Linked DNA regions of Canis lupus familiaris. The protein of the gene in region 1 interacts with the protein of each later gene in a pairwise test. Links are inferred from orthologs where the notes say so. Each region holds a gene or a part of one and is shown in the gene's direction. Other genes may lie near its edges.

Region 1 (4,157 bases):
TATGATTGCAAGGGCTTCCACATCGTCGGCTACTTCTCCAAGGTGAGTGCTCATCCAGATCATCTCTTGGCCCTGCCCTGAGCTGTGTCCCCTCCTCACTCACCTTCCTCCCCTTTCCAGGAAAAGGAATCCACAGAAGACTACAATGTGGCCTGCATCCTGACCCTGCCTCCCTACCAGCGCCGGGGCTACGGCAAGCTGCTGATCGAGTTCAGTGAGTAGTACCTTTGCTCCCGGCCAGGGGCCCCGGGGTGGGTACATGCGGGCCCAGGCTCAGTGCCAGTGCTGCCATTGTGCCTCCCTTGTAGACAAGCTAGGTTGCTATGATTGTTAACCCTGCTGTCACCAGGGTAGCTGGCCAGAAATAAAGGTGGGACTCTCCCAAGGCTTTCTCCATTCTCAGGGCAACTACCCTGCTTGTCTGGGCTAGGTTTTCAGCTCCTCACTCTTCCTTGGGTGAGGTTCTAAGCACCACCCAACTTTTCACAAATCTGACTCATATGCTCCCATCCAGGGAGCCATCAGCAGAAACCAGGTGAGCCACTGTTGCTCATCTGCCTGGTTCTGTGCCACCATAGAAATTCCTAAGTGAGGACCAGTGCTTCATATGCCACCATACAAATTCCTGAGTGAGGACCAGTGCTTCATTATCCCAGCTGTAACCTGAGCCTTGCAGATAGTGGATGCTCAAAATGCTAAAGTGATGTTAACTCAGCAAAAATAAGGAAGCACTGATTTGTGTGGATTTGGTCTCTGCTCCTTGGATTCAGGCAGGTCAGTCTCTTAAAGCCCACAAGGGACTCTGCCCCTCATCATCCGTGAACTCTTCTATGTCCCCCACCCGCAAGGCCCCCTTTTGCTTCCCAGCATCTTACATCACTCCACTCAACTCACCACTCACTGAACCCTTGGGATAGTTAAGTTCTGACCTGAGAGACAGGAGGGAGCCTTAGCTGTTTGGTGAAGTCACAGTGGCTTGACTTGATAAGGTCATGATCCATTTGAGTTATTTTATTAATAGAATGATGCCAAGATGGGGTCACATTCTCAGGAAGCCCTCAGCCTGATATGTGGGCGGATACTTAAAATGAATCCAAGCCTTGAAGCTCAGACCTCCATGGAGATAGGATGTGGGCAAGGACACCAATGTGATGTGCTCACTTCTGCCCAGCAGGAGCAGACAGGTGCACTGGGAGTGCCCATTCCGGGCAGTTCTTGAGGGCAGGTGGATGTTCACTGGGGAGGGGCCAGGAGCTCCTTGCAGCTGGGGAGGCTGATGTGGCAGGATCCCACATGCACTGGCAGGCCCAGCAAAGTCAAGTAGGGACCCAGGTGTGCTCCCTTCCTCTTCCAGGCTTCCTTTCTCTAAAGCAGGAGCTTTTCTGTCCCTCTCCCCAGCAGGCTGCTTGGTGGAAGTCACAGAAGATTGGGCAAGACTAGCTGATAAAGATTGGGAGGGGTAGGCAAAAAGGGCTGTGAGCCTACATAGCTGTGACTGAGGGTGAAGAAGGGCTTATAGAGGTAATGAAGGACACCCCAGGACCCTGAGGGAGAGAATGAAGACTCTGCCAAGAGACACGAAGCCATATAGGATTTTGCACAGCCTGAGGGGCTCCCTAGGAACTGCCTGCTAGTGCCCAGTAATCAGCAGGGTAGAGGAGGACAGAGCAGTCGGAGAGTGCCTCTGGAGAGGTGAGTTACCTGCTGTGGAATGGCCGCCTTCTGACCTGGGAAGTACATTAGTGCCTCTCCTTGCTTCTTATCAACACCTAGTCAGGCCAGCCTGGTCCTGGAGCAGCCAATGCTCCCCAGGTCACAGCTAGGGGGACTGACTTGACTGCAAATCCAGACATCCTGAGGCCCAGACCACACGTGGGGGCTGCCTTCCCTTCTCACATACCCAGGAGATATGGTCTGGAATGATGAAAATCAGGCACTTGCCTTTCTTGTCATTTTCTCTGCACTTCCCTGGTTCCTGAGTTTTTCTCCAGGTGGATTATAGCTGTTCCTTTCAGTACCCTCCACAGCACAGAGATGAAGAGTGAATGCTCATTAGCTCTCTGGGGAAACAGACACAGCAGACTAGCTACGTATGTCAGGTCACAGAACTACCACATGGCAAGGGTGAGATGGGAACCAGGCAGTTTACTCCTGTAACCATATTCTGAAAGTTGCATGAAGGTGTGATCGCTTACCCACCCCTTCTTGCTGCCTTGCTGTAGGCTATGAACTCTCCAAAGTGGAAGGGAAAACGGGGACCCCTGAGAAGCCCCTCTCAGACCTTGGCCTCCTATCCTACCGAAGCTACTGGTCCCAGACCATCCTGGAGATCCTGATGGGGCTGAAGTCAGAGAGCGGGGAGAGGCCACAGATCACCATCAAGTGAGCCTGGCCCTACCTCTGACCCTGGGGGTGCATGGCATGGCCCATCCTCATTCCTGGGGCTCCTGGGGGCTTGGGGCAGAGAGGAAGGCCTCCAGAGGACCTGATCCTTGTCCTCCCACAGCGAGATCAGTGAAATCACCAGCATCAAGAAGGAAGATGTCATTTCTACTCTACAGTACCTCAATCTCATCAACTACTACAAGGTAGGGAGGCAGGCAGGGGGAGACGTGTGTGTAGGGCTGCAGAGTGTGCACCCCACATGGGCTGACCCTTCCGGTCCTATCTCCCATCCAGGGCCAGTATATCCTCACACTGTCTGAGGACATCGTGGATGGGCATGAAAGAGCTATGCTCAAGCGGCTCCTTCGAATCGACTCCAAGTGTTTGCACTTCACTCCCAAGGACTGGAGCAAGAGGGGAAAATGGTGACCAGGCACTGTCTATAGCAGTGGCAACAAAGCAGAACTGGGGCTGACAGCACATCCCACCCCCACCAGGGCCCCCAAGAGGCACACCAAGGGAGGTGGGGCTGAGGACAGCTTCATAAGGAGAGGACAGGCCTGGTAGGGGCTAGCTGCCCAGCACCAAGGCGAGCTCAGGGCTCAGGTCAACTCCAAGGTCAACTGGCTGCAGGTCTGGGCCTGCTATGAAGCAGGGACTGGACGGAGCCAAGCAGCTATGTACAGTGAGATGGGGGGTGGGTGCACTCTGTACAGAGGGCTAGTGGCTGTAAAAATTTCTTTTGTAAGGAGTTGGGAGGAGGGGTGGGTACTGGCAGCAAAATTCTGGCCTCTTGCCCTCACTGCTCCTTGGCAATAAATCATTTCTATAGACTGAGCCATGAAAGTTTCTTGTGGGAGAAGGGGTAGTGCCAGCTTAGAAGACTCCAAGGTGCCCACAAACTCGCAGGTGCTGTGAAGAGCTTGTTTATTGGGGTGATGGAATCAGTGGTTCCAAAATGAAGAGCTGGTTTATTGGGGTGAAGGAACCAGTGGCTTTCAATTTCAAGTTCCGGCTCTCAGTCTTCAGGCACCTGTGCGTGAATCTGCAACAGGAGTCACCTCTACTATTGGGTTTTTGACACACACTGGGTGGCCCACATACTCTGGGAGTGACCCAGCTACTCAGAATGACAACCCCTTCTAGACCAGTCAGAGGTAGGGAAGCGCCCCTGCCCCTGACCAGTCTAATCCAGTCAGACCCAGGCTCCTTGTACCCCATTGTACTCCCCGGCCCTGAAGCCCCAAGTCCACTCGGACAAGATTCTGGACAGTCCAGGGAATACCCTTGAAGGCACAAGGGAATGGATGGGGCCTGAAGAGTGAGGTCCCATCCCCCTACTCACCGCTGCGGCCAGACTGGGCCAGGTTAGGGCCCCGCGCACTTTGGCGTCCGGACCAGGAATGGTCTCCAGACCCCATAGCGTGAAGCGGCTGAAACTGGCGATGGCTCCGATAAACTGGTCCTGAGGAAGGGGCCCGGCTCAGCATGAGGGCCACCGCTGCCGCCCGCACCACTCTCCAGCCCTGCCCCTCCACCCCCGTGCTCACGAAGTCCCGCTCCAGCGCCTCGCGGGGTTCTGCCCGCTCCTGCTCCTCTCGCTCGTCACCCTCCGAGAAGTCCTTCTCCATCGACACCTCTCCCTGCTCCTCCATCGCCATCACGTATCCCACGAGGCCAGGAGGCACCACCACCTCCTCGCCTCGTAGTTTGCGGCCCCGAAACGACACTTCGAGTCCTGCAGAAGGCAGGCTCGGGACCTCGGTACGGGC
Region 2 (5,007 bases), on another chromosome or scaffold:
TTTTCTGACTGTAGATAATCATTAGGGAAAATCAAATTTTCAGATTACTTGAGTAGGATTATATAGTAAATCAGTTTATTTACGTGACTCAAATGTGTTCACCAGTCTCTGATAGTCTAATAGGTATTACCCATTTCCAGAGGCTATACAGTGAACAGTAAGCCCAGTGTGGCATCCTCCTCAGTGGATTGGGCATGGGAAATCCACTGTTTCCTCTGAGACCTCTCTTTTACTTTGCTTCCATTGTAGACCAACTCCTTTCTGATTGATACATTCTTTCCTTTAACAGATTAATATCTTCAATCAGATAATTAACCAACTCTCTCTTCCTTCCTTCCTTTATGTATTTATGACAGAGAGTACCTGCCTTCTTTGGAGACCACTATGTAATGTCCTTTCTCTTCATTAATCATCTTTTGTTTTCTTTACAGGTACATGTCAACCTTATATTCTCACCCTGATTTTCCAGAGAAAGGGCCAGAGGAGATTAATGAAGAGCTAATGAAAAATGTTAGCTACAACCCCCTTTTGCTTCTCACACCACAGAAAGTTAAAAGATATGTTGAGTCTCTATGGAAGAAGAAAAGCTCTGGACAACCTGTCACCTTTACCGATATCTTTGGGATGTTAATAGGAGAAACACTAATTCACAATGTAAGCTATGATTCAACCTGCAGTCCTTTTGATACAAATAGACTTTGTATATCATAATACTTTCATAAAACAAAATGATACATCTTATAAAAGTCACTTGACTCACCTGATCCTATCAACAATGTGTACTGAGTACATACTCCCTGCCAGACGTAACATTTCTACATTTCCAACTAGTTCTTACTCATTCTGTGTAATAGTTTTGATGTAGCGAGGTACTTTTGGGTTCTTTTTCTTTGGAAAAATACACATTTTAACCCTTAACTGCCCACCCCCACGCCCAATGGCAGTCTTTTTAAATAAGGAGATGAATACAAGTAATAATGGTAGAGGAAAAATAGAGGTTGCTGAAAAGAGAGTCAGAAAAGGGAGTGAGTCACAAGAAACAAGCCCATTTGACATATGACAACAGTGTGACACTTCAACTGAAGATAAAGTTGGGGGAGATAAAGTCTGTGCCAGAGAATCTGGGGTCCAGACTCTCTTCTTCATAGCTTCATAGCTGCCAAGTTGTTCTTCATTTCAAATGTAGACATAGCCTTTAAACTTGTGGTTGTTTTTAGAGTGAAGATAATTACCTCCCTAGAGCATACTTTTGTTGTATATTAGGACCCAGAGATTTCTAGAAAAAAATAAGACTTATTTTTATTATAAAAGTTTTAAGTGTCTTGATTGCAAGTACTATTTTAAGTAGCTTCCTATCTGTATCTGTTACTATATTTAAAACCATGTATTTCTTCTGTGGACAGAGAATGAACACTACTTTGAGTAGTCTGAAGGAAAAAGTCAGTTCTGGTCAGTGTCCTCTACCTCTCTTCACCTGTCTCCATGTCAAACCTGATGTTTCAGAGCTAATGTTTGCAGGTACGAAATCTCCTCTTTCAAAACGTTTCCTCGAACCTTTGAACTGTTGGTTTGTCATGATTGTCATTAGAGGAAGTTCATAAGCAATTTTAGTTGTCTGTTTTTGTATATTTTCTGTACCATAAAAACAGTCGAAGATACAAGAAAATATTAAGCTAAATGATTTTCTGATGGTAGAGAATATTCCATGAAATTAGGTACTAATATATCTTCATTTAAATTAGTGAAATAGAAATTATGAAAAAAAGTCCTGACTGTAATCTCAATTTTCATTACTCAGTTCTCAAGGACTTTTAACAAAATAGTGTGTCTCGTGCTTTTAGGCAATGCATATTCTTTTGCTTACTGCTTATATTTTCATTAAATTGGATAACATATGTGATTATCATTAAAAGCACTTTTATAATTTTTATAATACAGTACTTAAAAAGTACGACTCTATACTTGTGGCAGATGAGGAACAAAATGCCCCATTTTGTTAATTCTCAAATGTAAATATTTGTTTCTTCTACAGAAGCTTTGCCTCTTGCTGGGTGCTCTAAAACATGTAACATCATGCTTCTGGGGGCTTTGGCAGTCCTAGTCTGCAGTATGGAAGCATTTCTGACTACAGCTAGTAGGGTTCGTTGTAATTTTAGGAAAAGTACCTCAAGAAAACCAGTCACACCATAAGAAAAAAAAAGTCATTGTGAATGGCATGAAATTAACAGATTTATTTCCAGAAACATTTTGCAATTTTACAAAGTCTCACTTTATTCAACTGACTATTCTGAGGCAAGAATTTTGAATTATTTATAAAAAGCAGTGCACCCGCAATTCATTCATTCAAATGTTTACCAGTTACATTGACTAAAATATCCATTATGCTTATGGCTCAGAAATCACTTATCATATTTATTATCCTATTCAATTTTGCTACAACTCAGGAAGTGAGGTCTTTTCAGCTGTGCTTCATAGAAGAAAAAAACAAAACCTCAGAAAGATTAAATGATTTGTACATTGCCACACAGAAGTAAGTAGCAGAGCTGAGATTTGTTTTCAAAAATCCTTTGTGTTTTTTTTAACATTTTATTTATTTATTTATTTATTTATTTATTTATTTGACAGAGAGAGAGAGAGCCCGCACATGCGCACAAGCAGCGAGAGTAGCAAACAGAGGGAGAGGGAGCAGGGAACCCAATACTGGGCTCGATCCCAAGAACCAGGGATCATCACCTGAGCCAAAGGCAGGCACTTAACTGACTGAGCCACCCAGGCACCCTTCCTTTGTTCTTTTTATTAAAATATTAGCTTCTCTGGTTACTGACTATGTAAAATATAGTATGCCAGGTGCTAAGCATGAACCCCCCTCCCCCAGCACAGTATATTGCCTCTGTTCTATCAGACCTTATAATCTAGGAAATTTACCATAATTATTAAAGAATTTAAGGCACAAGGAAGAAGTTACTATGCATTATTCCTGTGACTAAGTTACATGACATCTGTTAGTCTGTTTCCACATCTGTTAAATAAGGATGAGACTGTCATAGTGTTTCTATAGATAAATGATATGAAGTATGCAAAGTACATAAAACACTGGCAGGCCCGAATTAAGGTTAAGTAAATCTTAAAAATTTAGTGCTCTATGAAATCTATATGAGAAATCAGAGGTCTGGATCTTAACTACAAATAGGTTTTCTATATAAAAGGCAAATTTAATTATTGGATGAGGATAAGGCGTAGATTAGGAGTCTAGGATAACCATGGCATGCTCAGCATTAATAAAGAGCAAGATCTTGATTGTAATGTTTTTAGAGAGAATTGAAATTTTTGCATGCAAGAAAAGTAAGTGCCATGAGGAAATTGACTTTGTTTTGTTTTTGCTTTCCTATAGCTATTGTTTTGTGAGGTCTTGGAATGTTTGCAGATAGGTTGATAAATCCTACTAGTATGCTTGTCAAATATGTGCATAGCCAAATAAGCCATTTTACCCCAAAAGCATTATGATATGGTCAAACAAGCCCTAGACTAATTTGAAAGTCTTGTTTTAAAGCTGAAATACCTTGGTAGGCCATTTAATCTCTCTGATTTTTATTTTCTTCATTATTTAAAAAAAAAAGATGGTATTAGTAAATATCAGATTTATCTAACAAAACTATTAAGACAATCACATGAAGTAGGCAGAAGATGACACATCATAAAGAGACAAAATATGATAGTGTCACTACTATCGTTAAGATTGTTAGGACATTTTCATAGTCACCTTTTTTTATTCTGAACTTTGAGGCCAGTAGCCTATTCTCAATGGAAAATCTGATCATAATCATTAAGGAAGAAGTAATTTTAGATTCCCCTAGAGTGGGAAAGGCTGTTTTATGTTCAGCTAGTAACCTTCTGACCTCGATGTGTCTGATTTGGGCCATCTGCCTAATTACGATATTGTTACTGAGATGAGAGATACACCATTAACCTTCATTGTGAAGCTTTTATGATAAGGAGGTTCAAAGCTCTGTCTTCCAACAGAGTTGGACAAAGCCATCAAGCATTAGTTATATGGATCTTGTACCCAGATAAGATATTCAAAGATGTTATGTTATGAAGGTTCAAGTAGCTTGGGTTATTGAGGGGAGGTGGGGGAAGAGCCATGTCTATACTTTATTCCTTTAAAGTTTGCTCAGATTAAAAATAGATATTCAGGGGGAAAATAGCTGCAATATTATCTGAATAATATTTTTAAATGTCAAAGAACCAAATTATCTTAGCTTACAAAAGTTTTATCAACTTTGTTTCACAATATCAGAGAATGTTTTTCTTCCCTTCAGAATAGTTTTAAACATTTTCTTCTTTTGAAGATTTTAAACAAATAAACATTAGATGTTTAAACTGTCAAATATTTTTGCCTCCTTCACTTACTACATTGCTTTCATTTTTACGTTTCCATTGGTCAGTAAATTGCATTTACTGAGCACAACTTAGAGAACTCCACATCATGTTAAATTCTTTGACAGACTATAAGAGTAGATATATAGTATTATATAGTATTGTATATATAGTATTCAGGAAAGTTATAATCCCATTAACAAGACAAAAATAAAACATGAAAAATGAATGAGCCATACACATAGCATATTACGATCTATTAAAGTGTGTAGAACCGACATGAGAGTAAGATATCATAGACATTTAGTCCAGTCATAAGGACTTCAGGTGGATAATGGAACTCAGATTTCCTTTGAACATACATGGGTCTATCAAGAGAGATGAATAGTTCTTGTTGTGTGAAATACCATGAGAAAATACTCAGAAGGGGAGCCCAAAGTATGTTTTTGAGAGCAGTAAAAAGAAATTGGCCTTATTATGAGTGGGTGAAGGTGGGTGGTGCATTTGGGAAAATTATTAGTGCCAAATTATAAAAAGATCTGAATTCCAGGGAGAAATCTTTTTATTCAGTTATAATGATAATGGGAAATATTTTGATGTTTGGGGGCAGGACAATAAATTTTTTAAGTA
Region 3 (5,007 bases), on another chromosome or scaffold:
GGTTCCATTCTTTTCTTTTCCTTACATTTGCTAAGTTGAGATTTGTCTTTTTTCTCTTCAAGTACTTAGGACATTTGTCATCTTAATTCTTTTCTATTTGTCTAATGATTACTCTTAAGATACAGTTTTTATCCATAGCAAGAATTTATCAGGTATCTACAAACTGTTTCTGAATAAGGTCTATTTTTGAGGTTTTAAAAAAATTCCCATCTCTCTGGTAATTGTCATTTTACTGTTTCATCATTGTTAATATATACTTTTCTGCAATCATCTGATTGTGGTCAAGTCATAAGAATGTGCTCTGCTGTCAGTAATAATCCTGTGGAGGGGAATTAATTTTTCCATTAAAATGTACTTAAATACAAGAGAAGAAAATGTAATACTCTCTTGAAACTCTCAAATGAAATACTCTCTTGAACTAAAAACAAAACAAAACAAAAGCACCTCAGTGAACATCTGAAGTCTTAGTACCAGGAAACCTATGAGTTTATAGCTTGAAGTATGAGTAGGGACAAAGATTTGAGATCAAAAGAGTATCTTGTTCTTATACTTATATAGCTATTTATTATATGCTCTGGGCTTGATGGTGGTAAATAAGAAAATGGCTTTACTCTTCTTTGTTTTATTTATTTTTTATTTATTTTTATTTTTTAAAGATTTTATTTTTTTATTCATGACAGACACAGAGAGAAAGAGAGAGGCAGAGACACAGGCAGAGGGAGAAGCAGGCTCCATGCAGGGAGCCTGACGTGGGACTTGATCCCGGGTCTCCAGGATCACACTCCGGGCCGAAGGTTGTGCTAAACCACTGAGCCACCAGGGCTGCCCTCTTCTTTGTTTTAAACTTGCTGTTTTGGGTCTTCCCTTCCTTTCCTTGGATGATATGTAAGGTAGAACTCATACCTTTTGGCAGAGTGCTATAGTCACATATTAAGATATTTAAAATTCACTCAGGCATTAATGATGTTAGGGAATTACTGTTAAATTTCTTTTTTTTTTTTTAAGATTTTATTTATTCATGAGAGACACAGAGAGAGAGAGGCAGAGACATAGGCAGAGGGAGAAGCAGGCTCCCCTTAGGGAGCCTGATGTGGGACTCAATCCCCAGACTCTGGGATCACACCCTGAACCAAAAGGCAGACGCTCAACTGCTGAGCCACCCAGGTGTCCCATGTTAAATTTCTTCTGTATGATAATGGTTTTAGGATTTAAACAGGAGAATGTGCCTACTTCTAAGAGAAACATACTTACCCTTAAGTATTTGAGGGTAAAGTTTTATCATGTCTGTATTTTCTTTAGGAGGTTCAGCTAAGTGAGCAAATATAAGATAGTGTTAACAATTGTTGAATCTAGGTAGTGATTATGTGGGTATTTATGATGGTTCATTTTATGTATCAACTTGACTGGACCATAGGTTTCCCAGATATTTGGTCAATTTTATTCTGAATATGTCTGTGAGGATGTTTATGGATTGAGATTAACATTTGATTTTGCAGACTGGGTAAAGCAGATTGCCTTCCCTAATGTGAATGAGTCTCATTCAGTCATTTGAAGGCCTGACTAAAACAAAAAGGCTGAATAAAAGGGAGTTCCCCTTGCGTGACTACCTTTGAGCTGGGACATCAGTTTTTTTCCTGCCTTCAAACTTGAACTGTCTCTTCCTGGGTCTCAGGCCTGTGAGCATTCAGACTAGAACTACTCCATTGGCTCTCTTGGATCTCCAGCTCGCCTAATGCAGAAATTGGGACTTACCAGCTTCCATAATTATGTGAGCCAATTCCTTATAATAAATCATTTTAGATATATACATATACATTGTTTCTGTTTCTCTGTAGAACCTTGATAATACAGATTTTGGTACTGAGAATGGTTGTAGAGGAACAGCATTTTAAGGATTAGTTCTCTGCATTGGGTTTGGGGTTTCCAAAATTGGCATGATGTTTACAGGATTTCTCTATAGAATGTGTTGGACTTTAGTATTCATTGTCCTCACTTTGAACTTTAACTGAGGTTACGAAACAACAGGATATGCTCCCTTTAAACATCTGATTTAACTTAAATATAAGGAGATAGAATTAGAGAAATGTGAGATTCTAGCTAAGAATGTATTGATGATTCTTTTTCCCTGTGTAGATTATAATAGGGCATTCATAACTTACTTTAAAGTCTAAATCATTTGAAAATGCATTTAGCTTTTCTGTGAAGACTGTGGTTCTGATTAGAACTTATATGTTTAATTATGTTGATGAAACTGCTATACTTCCAAAACATTACATGTGTCATTCCTGTTAAAGAACTTCTTAATGCCTAAAAATAATTCTGAAAATGATGATATATTGACATAGAAAGCACTCCTTTAACCTAAATCATTTTGGATAGGACTGTGATAAACATTTCAACTAAAAGCATGGTCTTTTTTTTTTTTTTTTAAGGTTCTGAGTAGCATCAATTCAATTGTTCATAATCCAAGAGCTCCAGTAATAATTTATAAACAGAGCAAAGGAGGAACCCAACATTTTAATAAAGATTTTGTTCGAGATTGTGGATTTGAGCATCTTATTCCTATAGTAGAAATGTGGGCAGATCAACTGACTTCTCTAAAGGTAAGGGGTTGAATATTTTTTACATGCTTTGAAAATCTCTTGGATTCTCTGCGCTTTTTGTTTTTGTTTTTGTTTTTGTTTTTTTCCTCTGGGCTTTATTAAAGGACTAGGCTTCATTTTTTTTGTGTGTTTGTTTGTTTTAGCTGTAAAGCTTACCTTATTTATTTTTTTAAATTTATTTATTTTTTTATTTATGATAGTCACAGAGAGAGAGAGAGAGAGAGAGAGGCAGAGACATAGGCAGAGGGAGAAGCAGGCCCCATGCACCGGGAGCCCGACGTGGGATTCGATCCCGGGTCTCCAGGATCGCACCCTGGGCCAAAGGCAGGCGCCAAACCGCTGCGCCACCCAGGGATCCCAAGCTTACCTTATTTAAAACTTGAATTTAAAACTTGTTACTTACCATATTGGTTTTAAGTACTACCTATTTGATGTTGTCATTACTATAAGCTTTGCCTCCTGTAAAGTTTTGCTAAAGACTTTTAGACCTGTTGCCATGTTGAAAATCTGGAGTGGATCTATTTTGCACTTCTAGGTCCTTTCCTGTTCTACCTTCATCTTACTCTTTTTGGTATTTCCATGCTGCAGATTTTCCTGGCCTTTTACTCCTCTTGAGATACAATGTTTTATCCTTCATTCCACTTTAATTGGGGATTTTTTCCTCTTCATATTTTAAATCATTTTCCTTCTCTCAAAACTGTCCACATCTCCATAACTGTTTTATAGAACAGTTAGTAGTTCAATAACAGCCAATACTACTTTTACTTATCATGTCTATCCATGGAAGATAAACATTTCTTTGCTTTCTAGAGTTATTTTGCATTCTTTATCATGTATCTTCAGGTTTTTCAGTTTTTGTTGAGTAGTTCACTGAAAGGTGAATTGCTAAAGTCATTAATATTTAGTTTCTATTCCCTTCTTCAATCTTTAGATCTTTCTTTCTTTTCTTTTTTTTTTTTTTTTTTTTTTTTTTTTTTTTGAGTGGGGACAGAAGGGGCAGAGAGAGAGAAAATCCTAAACAGGCTCACAACCCTGAGATCATGACCTGAGCTGAAATCAAGAGTCAGACACTAACTGAGCTGCTGAGGCATCCCTGATCTTTAGATTTTTCAATAATATATATAGCACTACCTCTGTTCATGATTCAGTAACAGTATTTGTCAACGGAACCCTTGTTGCATGAAGTATAAATGATACAGAAGATATGAGTAAGAATGTATAAGTTCTATGAGTTTTATCTTTTTTTTCTCGGATATATCCCAAGGAATCTCCTGATACATAATGTGTGCTTAATATTTGTCAAAAGAATGAAGTAGAATAACAAATTCCAAGACAGCAAAATGACGATGATGATACTGAATTTAAAAAAATTAATGAAAACATACTGGTAATTGATGAAAGAGTCTTCGTGTTCAGGCTAATTTCTCTTTCCCTTTTTATATAGGGATCAGATAGAGCTATAAAATAGAAAACATTTTAATTGAGTGATAGTGTTGTTGTCTTAATATACCTATCTTATAGGCCTGAGTCTCTCCAGTTTATATCTTAGTAGATGTTAATTATGTAAATATGGTTAATTATGTAAACCCAGTCATTGCTTGTCAGAGGGTTCTCCCAGTAATAGGAAACAGTGCTAACCCCACTTAAAAAAAGATTTATTGAGGGGACACCTGGGTGGCTCAGTGGTTGAGTGTCTGCCTTTGGCTCAGGGCGTGATCCCAGGTGCAGAAACTGAGTTCTGCATCGGGCTCCCTGTGAGGAGCCTGCTTCTCTGTGTATGTCTCTGCCTCTCTCTGTGTCACTTATGAATAAATAAATAAAACCTTTTTAAAAAAAGATTTATTGGGGCTCCTGGATGACTCAGTTGGTTAAGTATCTGCCTTTGGCTCAGGCCATGATCCTGGAGTCCTAGGATAGAGCCCATGTCAGGCTCCCTGCTCAACGGGGAGTCTGTTTCTCTCTCTGCCCCTCCCCCTCCCCCTACTCCTCTCTCTCTCTCTCTCTCTCTCTCTCTCTGTCTCTCTCACTCTCTCAAATAAATAAGATATTTTTTTAAAAAAAGATTTATTTATTTGAGAGAGAGCAAATAAGCCAATTGTGGGAGGGGCAGAAGAAGAGAATCCTCAAGCAGGATTACATAATTAACCATGGTTTACAAAATTAACATTTACTAAGATATAAACTGGAGAGACTCAGGCCTATAAGATAGGTATATTAAGACAACACTATCACTCAATTCTCTCAATCCCTGCTGAGGAGGGAGCCCAATGTGGGGTGCTCTGTCCTATGACCCATAAGATCATGACCTGAAGGGATCCCTGGGTGGCGCAGCGGTTTGGCGCCTGCCTTTGGCCCAGGGCGCGATCCTGGAGACCCGGGATCGAATCCCACATCGGGCTCCCAG
Region 4 (5,007 bases), on another chromosome or scaffold:
GTTCAGAGGGAGGCAGAGAAGCAGAGAAGGTAGAAGAAGAGAGGAGGATCTGATCCAAACAAGCAAGTTACACCATCCACCACACACACACTCAATGTTTGAGAAATACTAGGGGCTACTGGGTAGCTGTAATCCATGCCTAAACATGTACCAATGCAGCACACAGTGGAAGGTCCCACCCACCACGGCCCCATTGCAGGGAGAACCCTCATGCCCAGATGAGTGGTTCTTCCAGAGCCTCTGGCACATTGACACACACATCCTTTCATAAATGCATGTCTTCTCAACTCACCCTGACTTAGTCTTCATTGCTTGAGGGGAAAAATATATTTAATTGTAGCCACTGGATGGAATAATTCAGTAACTAAGAACATGGGAATTCCACCCACCTCCCCACCCCGCATATCTCTTGACAAATTTCATTAATATTGTCATAGGACTTAAAATTCATTTCTGTTTGGAATGTGAAAAGAATGTATGATCTCTACTGGACGCCAGCAGGAAAGCTTGTTCTTTCCTACAGTGTATATATACCTCTTCCTCAACCCTCAGCCAGCTCTTAAATGTAGTCCACTGTGTTCTTCCTTCTGCCAGCCATTTTACAATCTCTGCTTACCAACTTGATTGCAAATGCCACAAGAGTGCACACAACCCCATGCTGAGCCCTTTTTAAACCCCGAAGACCTGTCTGTGAAAATGGGAATGCAACAATGATGTCCATAATTCCCCTGGGAATTACCTTTTCTCTTGGTAGGATTCCAAATCATAGCTCCACATTTTACTCAAGAAAATACTCTGTCCTTCTCATCAGAAACATTCCTGTTATTTTTCAGTCTACCAGTGTAGGTGGATCATTTCCACTGTGTTTTCCAGATGCCCTAAGGGTAGCACATCCCATGATTTTTTTTCTAAAGGGGCTTACCCTTTCCAAAGCTTTTTAATGCAGAGTTCCCCTGAAGATGTGACAGGTGAGAAACTTACCCCTCATTTGTAACACCATCTTCAGTGCCTGACAAACATCCTGCAATGCCAGTTTCCTTCACAGCTTTATTGTTTAACACATTGAGCTGTGCACGGAAGGAGCACTTCACACTCTCGCTAAAATACGACACCTGCCACTTCCCTGGCACAGCAGCCTTACAGCAGGAGAGCACCACACATTTTCTCCCAGAGCCATTTCTGGCTCTTATACTTTTGTCCTGTTGTAATTGAGAGTTTTTTGGGTTTGTTCTTTTATAAAAATGCATTTTTACCCATTAGATATTGGTGTTTGTAGTTTAGTCTAATTTTTTCAGCTCAGTAAAGAGATGCCATGAGGTCTGGTAATCTCTTTGTAAGAGTACCAATCCAGAATTTAATAGCTCACTAATTCGGCCTTCAATGACTAGTGCTATGTTCATTGCAAACCTAGAATGATCAGGTTTGATTATCATCACCAGCAGCCCTTCGGATAGAAGGAATAAAATTCTCAGAAAAAACATTTTGGTACTTCTTATTTGTTGAATCATAAAAATGTCAGTTGGAAATCTGGACCTATTTCCATTCAGTGGCTACTTAAATACATTTCACCTCTATTATGTCATGAGCCCCTCCCCCACTGTTTCCTCCCACGAATGTTCTGCCCCCCTTGCCTTCAGCATGCCTCTCTGTGAGTTGGAGAATTTTACCAATCCACTAATAACATTTGTTTCTTATTTCTGCACATCTAGGATGACAGCACTAGCCATAGTGACCACCAAGACCCCATCTCATTAGCTGTGGAAATGGCAGCAGTCAACCACACTATCTTGGCATTGGCCCGACAAGGAGCCAACGAAATCAAGACAGAGGCCCTGGATGACGACTGAGCAGGGAGGGTTGAACAGGAGAAGTTAACTTAGTTTAGACGTAGCACCTTAGCAGACTTTCCTCGGTCCTTAACATGTGTTCTTACAGTATAACTTGCAGTTTCTTGTATGTCAGTTAGCCGTTAGGGTCTTGTTCTGTGAAGATGGCATGGTGCCCTCAGCCTTTGCATATACTCTCTCAGTATTAATTCCCAGTAAATAATAACCAACCAACCAACCAAACTTCCCTCTCCCAGCCCCCGAGGCTAGAAAATCTTGCTGCTCTGTCTTAGCATTCCAAGAAAGTGCTTCCAGGTATTTAGATAGCCCTCAGTTCTCCAATATTAGGCTACGTGTAAAACCTTGGGTACCTTTAGATTCCTGTAACACTAGTCTGTACCTTTTTCCTTCCCCAAGACTGATAGGATGCAAGCTGAGGTAGTGTGGCCCAGGATTGACAGACACCATTTGGGGAGTGTCCACAGAGTAAAAGGAACACTAGAATTCCCACTCAGGGTGGGAATAATTGATTTCCAGCTGCAATAAGCCGTGCCTCATAATAGTCACACTGTGGCTAGATTATACTTCTTTGGGTGCTGTGCTAAGAATGTCCATGGAAAAACTTGATCTCAAATTTTGGTTGATGTTAACATGCCTGACACAGACATCCTTTCCTCTCACAAGCTGTGTGACTTAGTAGATAAAATACTGCCTTCTGCCTTTGGGACCATGATTCAAACAAAAAAAAGACAAAAAACAAAAGTCATTAAAAAAAAAAAAAAAACCCAGCTTGAGAGCATTGGAAAAAAACATGAGCTGAATGTCTAATGGATGTTAAGTCCAGTTCTCAGAACCACTGTACATTACATGGCACAGGTGTGTGCCTGCCTGGAAAAGTGCTGGAGGCCATCATGGAAGCTGCTCTGCCTCCTGTTTATGTCCCCTTTCCCTGCTACCAAAAAAAGTCAAGGATGGAGCTAAGGTCACAAATGACTGAATGAACTTCCAGTCTTTGTATCCATTTACTGAAGCCCCCTCAATATGAGAGGTTGATAGAGGACTTTATAGTGGGATTATGCTGACTGACTATCACAAATGCAAATACTTTCCTAAATAGGAGCAGAAAAAACAGGGGACAATTGCCACTTACGTGGCGGGTCTTCAAGATACAACGTGATGTGACTGCTTTGGTGTTCTCTTTACTCTGTCCTTGTAGAGGTGTGAAAAGCTATATTGCTACAGGCAATTTATTTAATAATTGGAAGCCATATTGATAATGGATGTGGTAATATTTGTAAAGTTTAATCTACTTTAAGCGGCAGTAACTAATGGAATTTTTTTCCTTGATCACATATGTAGCACTTTTGTTACTTTTTAAAGATATTTATATTTGATAAATCTTTTTTTCATTTTGAGAACTCAAAATACCAAACAGTGAACTTGCGTTATAAAGTCACCCTGTGATCACCTTGTCATCTAGTAGCAAAATGATGAACTATTCATGCATCAAAGAAAATTACATCTGCTGGCCTTGTATGAAAATGATCTCTTGGCATCCCGATTAAATGACACACTGTCACTGTGGGGAAGAGGAAACCGCCTTCGATGTAGCGGCGTAGGGTGCGTCTGAAGGAGGCATGACTGCTGTATACTTTCTGCTTCGTTCCATCTCTCCTTCCTACGCATGGTGAAGCCTTGCGGGGCTGGCTATTCAACAGGGCTTCTGTCCTGTCATCCATTACCTGAGAACGATTTCTAAGATGGAAAGAAGGTGCCATTTCCTTACCTCTTCACCCCTCCTCCCCCACCAAATGTATTCAGCCTAAAACCATTGAGGGAGAGAAACTGACTGACCTTTGTTTTGCCCTTCCTCATTAGTGAGATATTAAATTAAATACCCACCAGTTTTTAGCTGGTCTGACTCCATGTAAGGCACGTGCTGACAAGGGCTTCTCTGTATCTGTTTATCCTCCTTAGGCCAGTGCGCGGAAGCCTTCAAGAGGGCACGAAGATGCCACCTTATATGGGGCTGTGACTTTAAAGAGCTGTAGGCAGGGACTGGGCCTGCTTTTGTCTGTGGATTTCAGGCAGAAAGTGTATGTGCTTCTTCCAGCTTCCAAGAACTGAAGTAAAATGGGGTAGTCTTTTCTGTTTTACTGTATTACTTGAACCAACCAATTCAAGAGTAGCATTTGTTATTCTCAGGAATGATCCCCCTGCTCATTTTCTTTCTTAGTGTGTTGGACTTTTTATTTCAATTAGGAGATTATGTTATCTTTCTTTCCTTTTATATTACGTAGAAGAAATATAACATGTTGTATCTTTCCATTTCGGTGGAATTTTGTCTGCTTATTCTCAGTTGACTCAAAGAAGTGAGAAAACTATACTGTCTGACAAGCCACATCCATGATTTATTGTAAGGAGATTATTATAATTGATAGCTTCTTTATGATGGGATTGTCAGTATCATTTGTTCTTGCTGGTCTTTTTAAAGAAACAGACTCAAACTGTTAGGACAGCTGCAGTTTCTAAAGAAATACAGTGATTGCCAGAGAAGAGCTAAAAGGTTTCATTGTTTTAAGGCCTTAGGGATGGGGAAAAGCTTCAGAGAATAAAGGAGAGTCGGTATCCATGAAAGCAGTACAGGGCCCTATCTGGCAACCTGGAAAAAAAAGTGAAAGAACATGTCTACTGATGCAAGATAGCTTCATATTGGGTTCAGTAGGAACAGGAAGAAGGAATCTTTCATCCAGAAATCTTCTTTTAATTGAAGAAGACTGCTGGCCTGCTCTTAAGACCCACTGCCTTACATATAACTTTTGCTTTTTCACCAAGAGCAAAGATATAGTTCTTTGGGGCCTAGATTTAAATCTACCATTGTTGATTTGTTTTTTGGGGTTTTTTGGTTTTGGGGTTTTTTTTGCCACCAGGTTGAATTCAGCTGTCTTGTCCAGGTTACCTTAGTTCTTATAATGGTGTATACAGTTGCCACTGTCTAAGTTGTGATGTCTTTGGATAGTGAATTTGTTTTCTTAAGCTTTTTCAGGTTTGGTGGTATTTAAATAGGAACCCTAAACTGCTCTCTTACTGAAGGGAAAAGAGCCAGGGCTCTGAAAAAATCCTGTTGTGTGCTTTTTGGTTGTTGTGTCCCTCTTCTCTGGCCCCATAATGTACCTCCCTC
Region 5 (4,429 bases), on another chromosome or scaffold:
CCCAAGTCTGCTTCTCTCTCGGCCCCTCACCCTATGCGTGCTCTCTCTCCTCTCTCTTTATAAGTAAATAATCTTAAAGTTAATTTTATATTAATCTAAATAATATTTGAATACATTTAAAAAATCATGTACTAAGTGACCTATAAGGCAGTAAGTAGGATCCTGCTTCACCCTTCTCCATCCTCATCTGGCCCCCAGTGGCAGCCTTCATTCAGTTCCTGATCGATTACTCTTCTGGTATGCATTTCCATATCTCTCAATAATATGCTTATTTTCTTGATTAACCAGTTTTACACATTATCCGTTGATTTCCTTCTATGAATGCTGTGGGTTAAGCTCTCTTTCACATCTCCTTTCCTTTTACTTTTCTCCTTCTCTTCTTCCATTGAAATGGAATCACAACTTTGGATTAAAGCAGCAGTCAGCTTTTACTTATAATAACCATGTAAATTTTGTTCACCGATGAGTGAACAAATTCTGCCTCTGCCCACGTGTACCTGGAATTAATAGTTGACTCAGGTTTTTATTTGCTTGGTTCCCTACATACCTGTCTCTAATTTTTTTCCCCTAAATGATTCATCTGATGTCAGATACCTAGTAGTGTTTTTATAAGTGCACTAATACTTAATCCATCAGTTTGATTTTTTTTTTTTTTTAATTCTGGAAACTTTCCTCCCACTACTCTTTTTCCTCCTGCACCAGTCTGGACTGTTTATTCTCTAGGTCTAGTGTAGACTTGTTGTGTTGGGACTTCTTTTTTTTACTTCTTTTCTGTATCGGGTCCTATTTCCAGCTTCTTATGTTTTCCTTTTTCTTGCTTTATTCCTTGATTTGCTGAAGCTTTCAAGAAACGTGCATGGGAGGCATATTTTTTGTCTCAAAATGAATGAAAATATCCATACAACAACCTTATAGTTGATTTGACTAGGTATAGAATTCTAGGTAGATAATGATTTTCAGGGGATCCCTGGGTAGCTCAGAGGTTTAGCGCCTGCCTTCGGCCCAGGGTGTGATCCTGGAGTCCCAGGATGGAGTCCCAGGATCCAGTCCTACGATCAAGTCCCGCATCGGGCTCCCTTCATGGAGCCTGCTTCTCCCTCTATCTGTGTCTCTGCCTCTCTCTCATGAATAAATAAATAAAATCTTTTTAAAAAGAAAAAATGATTTTCTATTAGAACTTTTTTTTTTTTTTAAGATTTTATTTATTTATTCATGAGAGACAGAGAGACAGAGAGAGAGGTAGAGACACAGGCAGAGGGAGAAGCAGGCTCCATGCAGGGAGCCTGATGTGGGACTCAATCCCAGGGCTCCAGGATCACACCCTGGACTGAAGGCGGCGCTAAACTGCTGAGCCACCTGGGCCGCCCTCTGTTAGAATTTTTAAGGCATTTTCCCACTAGCTTTTAGCATCGTGTTACCGTTGAGAAATCTGATGCCATTTTGCTTCCTGCGCCACTATATGAAGCTTCTCTTGGTGTTTCTTTTTCTGAAAGCTTACAGGATTCACTCTTTATTCTGAAATTCCAAAATTTTTCAATGATTGTGTTGGAATCTTGGTAGGCTATTCAATTTCAAGACAGTGACCTTAATTCTAGGAATGTTTATTGTATTATTTATTTAATAATTTCCTCCTTTGCTTTTTCTGTTCTTTTTGGAACTCCTTTTTGTCAGGTGCTGGACTTCCTGGATTGACTTTCTAATTTCCTAATCTTTTCTACTTCCCATCTTGATCTTTTTTTCCCATTCTAATTTTCTTGACATTTTAAACACTGCTATTTTTATTTTTAGCTATGTTTTTTTTTAAGTGGTCTTTTTAAAAATAAAGATATTTATTTGTTCATTTATTTATGAGACAGAGTATAAGCACATAATCAGGAGAAGCAGAAGGAGAGGAACAAGTTGACTGTGCTGAGCGTGGAGCCTGATGTGAGGCTCAATCCCATGACCCCAAGATCATGACCTGAGTCAAATTCAAGAGTCAGATGCTCAACCAACTGAGCCACCTAGGCGCCCCTTAGTTATCACAGTTTTAATTTATAATAGTTCTTTCTGGCTTTCTGGTTTTAAGTTTTCTTCTACTTGCCTTGTTGCTGCTTCCTGAGAGTGAGTGAGAGAGAGAGAGAGAGAGAGAGAGAGAGAGAGAAAGAGAATTCATGTACCTGTTTTGGTTTTTTTCTTGTTAGAGCTTTACTCAAATATTTGGTGACCCCAGGCTGTCCATTCATAGTTAAGCTTAAGTGAGGCTTGTTGATTAAAGGCCTCAAATAGTGAACCTTTTCACTGGGGTCATGCAGGGCCAGCATCTAATGGCTTTTCTCTTGACTGCTTGGTGCAACCAGAGAACTCTTGTCTCCTGTGAGGGTGCCAATGTGTTTGATATCCTGGGAGCTGAGTTGATTCCTCGGCTCCCAGGATATCAAACAGTTCCATAATTTATCATGTATACTTGCACTTAATCCCAATTTTCAGCTTCAGTATTAACCTTGTTCTCTATTATGTCTGGACTTCCTGCGTGTGAAACCTGTCTGGTTCAGTTTCTACAGAGAATAGACCTCTGTTCTCCTGTGAGACTGCTGGAAGTGACAGACTCTTGGATGTGCAAGATGGGACGGGGCCCCAGGGATCCAATTTATTCTCAGCCCCACACCTCTCCCCTGCCTCTACCTGTAAACACCAAGCCTCCCAGTACCATCCCCCCTGGCAGGCCCTTAGCTTAGTGCCTCCACTCTGGCAAGTCAGCTCTGTTGCTCCTGTCCTGTTCTCTCTGACCTTAGGGAGAGCATCCTTTACATTTCCTTACTGTCATTCTGATGAAGACTCAGAAGGAGATGTGGTAAATGCCAAGTCAAATAATCAGTCTTCCTCCTACTTACAGGCTGAACCTCCTCAGAAGAGCAACTGGAGACAGAAGCATGAGTCTTTCATCCGTACTCTCCGTCAGGCCCGAGAGGTCCAGCAGGTAATTGCCAAAGGTGGAAACCCCTCAGACTTGCCACCCATTCTACCTGCAGAAAATCCAGATTATATTCAGTGTCCACACTGCAGCCGCCACTTTGCTCCCAAGGTGGCTGAGCGCCACATTCCCAAGTGTAAGACCATTAAGAATCGGCCCCCACCTCCAAGGAAGCATTACAGTTGAACAGACAACAGTGGAAGTCTCAGAAGGCTCTGCTTCTCTTCAGCAGTAAATGGGAGAATAATTTGATACAAACCAGAACTAAAACCTTTACATCTCCCACATCTGCCTGCAGAACTTAAATCAGTGAAGAGACTCATTGCTAAGCAGCAGGAAGCAAAAGGAAGCTTCGGCTTCCCACTAAATTACCATGTTGGGCTGGTGTGCCTTTCTATTGCCCTCAGAACTGGTGGGTGAAGACACTTGAGAGTAGCAAGTGGGCTATATTAAATCTCTCTTCTCGCAAGCCTGACTTGTGGTCTGTGCTAGTTAAGTGCCTGCATTTGCTGTGCCTTCTTGCCATTGCCTCTGCATGTATGTTTGTGGTTCCTGTTCATGCTTCTTGCTCTTGCAGGAAGTTGGTTCATTAGATTAAGTTGGTGTCAGAAGATCATGATCACCTAGGTGGTATCTCTTATAAAAGATAATACAATTTTGCTGTAAGGCAAATGGAAGTTTATGCTTGACCTTTGTGACGCATGGTCCTGGCCAAAAGCCAACACCAGTATGCAAAGTTCGGGTGCCAGTCTATCCTAAGCGCCGCTTGTGGTATACTGTGTCATAAAGAGAACCTCATCTTGATGTGCTTTACAGGCTAGGGATGGGGAGAGCACTACTGTATGCCTCAGTAGTTGCTCTTTGCTAATGGATTTCATATGTCAAAAAAAAAGGAAGGAACTTCAGTTTTAGCGATTGCTGGCATTCTGCTTTGAAATCAGATTGGTTGTATGGCTTTTGAAATAAGGCAGCAAAATCTACCATCAAAGCAAGCTGGGACATTGCAGTCTCACATGTCGCTGTCCATTATATCACAGTGAACTTCTATTTTAGAGAGTAAACTTTGATGAAAAATGAAAAAAGATACTGGATTTTTAAAATTTTCTCTGTGCAGAATTGTGCATACTGCAGGTACTCTTCATAATTAGACCTTCAAAAAGGGTTTTGGGGATTTAAAATTAAATAATAAAATGAGTAAGTCCTAGTTTGGTCAGATGGGAGAAGTGATAAGGTAATGCCCGTCAGGGGTAGTATCAGTTTAAATAGGATGAAGATAGAACAACAGATATGAAATAACAGTAGGATTATTGTCCTGAGAACATCACTCAAATTGTTAGTTTAAAATACTGGAGAAAAAAACACCCAACTTGACCTGGGCCAAGGTGACTAAGCAGACAAAAAAACCCATATTCTACTAACAAATGGCCACTCATGTTCCATTTCCTCTGCAGCACCTGCTGAATGGCTGGGCTAATA

What was found. The genes of interacting proteins can lie anywhere in the genome.
Region 2: the proteins of KAT5 (region 1) and PLA2G4A interact in a two-hybrid assay, tested with the Homo sapiens proteins (2 studies listed by BioGRID). The link is inferred for Canis lupus familiaris from reciprocal best matches to the Homo sapiens genes KAT5 and PLA2G4A.
Region 3: the proteins of KAT5 (region 1) and CEP70 interact in binary tests that used the Homo sapiens proteins (3 or more experiments, as listed by UniProt). The link is inferred for Canis lupus familiaris from reciprocal best matches to the Homo sapiens genes KAT5 and CEP70.
Region 4: the proteins of KAT5 (region 1) and HMBOX1 interact in binary tests that used the Homo sapiens proteins (3 or more experiments, as listed by UniProt). The two-hybrid records come from large-scale screens. The link is inferred for Canis lupus familiaris from reciprocal best matches to the Homo sapiens genes KAT5 and HMBOX1.
Region 5: the proteins of KAT5 (region 1) and ZC2HC1C interact in binary tests that used the Homo sapiens proteins (3 or more experiments, as listed by UniProt). The link is inferred for Canis lupus familiaris from reciprocal best matches to the Homo sapiens genes KAT5 and ZC2HC1C.

What each region holds. Positions count from the first base shown.
Region 1 is NC_049239.1:52,000,404-52,004,560, reverse strand, and holds the end of KAT5 (histone acetyltransferase KAT5), read left to right. Parts: coding exon 1-42; intron 43-120; coding exon 121-214; intron 215-989; exon of another isoform or gene 990-1,949; coding exon of another isoform or gene 1,950-2,060; intron 2,061-2,222; coding exon 2,223-2,382; intron 2,383-2,506; coding exon 2,507-2,588; intron 2,589-2,679; coding exon 2,680-2,814; 3' UTR 2,815-3,222; downstream 3,223-4,157. Other genes in the region: RNASEH2C (ribonuclease H2 subunit C), read right to left, coding at 1,950-2,060, 3,731-3,850, 3,936-4,123. UniProt on the Homo sapiens protein: Catalytic subunit of the NuA4 histone acetyltransferase complex, a multiprotein complex involved in transcriptional activation of select genes principally by acetylation of nucleosomal histones H2A and H4.
Region 2 is NC_049228.1:19,792,392-19,797,398, forward strand, and holds part of PLA2G4A (cytosolic phospholipase A2), read left to right. Parts: intron 1-431; coding exon 432-654; intron 655-1,403; coding exon 1,404-1,518; intron 1,519-5,007. UniProt on the Homo sapiens protein: Has primarily calcium-dependent phospholipase and lysophospholipase activities, with a major role in membrane lipid remodeling and biosynthesis of lipid mediators of the inflammatory response.
Region 3 is NC_049244.1:35,247,836-35,252,842, reverse strand, and holds part of CEP70 (centrosomal protein of 70 kDa), read left to right. Parts: intron 1-2,432; coding exon 2,433-2,603; intron 2,604-5,007.
Region 4 is NC_049246.1:28,664,120-28,669,126, reverse strand, and holds part of HMBOX1 (homeobox-containing protein 1), read left to right. Parts: coding exon 1-29; coding exon of another isoform or gene 30-53; exon of another isoform or gene 54-62; intron 63-1,709; coding exon 1,710-1,847; 3' UTR 1,848-3,446; intron 3,447-5,007. UniProt on the Homo sapiens protein: Binds directly to 5'-TTAGGG-3' repeats in telomeric DNA. Associates with the telomerase complex at sites of active telomere processing and positively regulates telomere elongation.
Region 5 is NC_049229.1:48,492,841-48,497,269, forward strand, and holds the end of ZC2HC1C (zinc finger C2HC domain-containing protein 1C), read left to right. Parts: intron 1-2,875; coding exon 2,876-3,139; 3' UTR 3,140-3,422; downstream 3,423-4,429.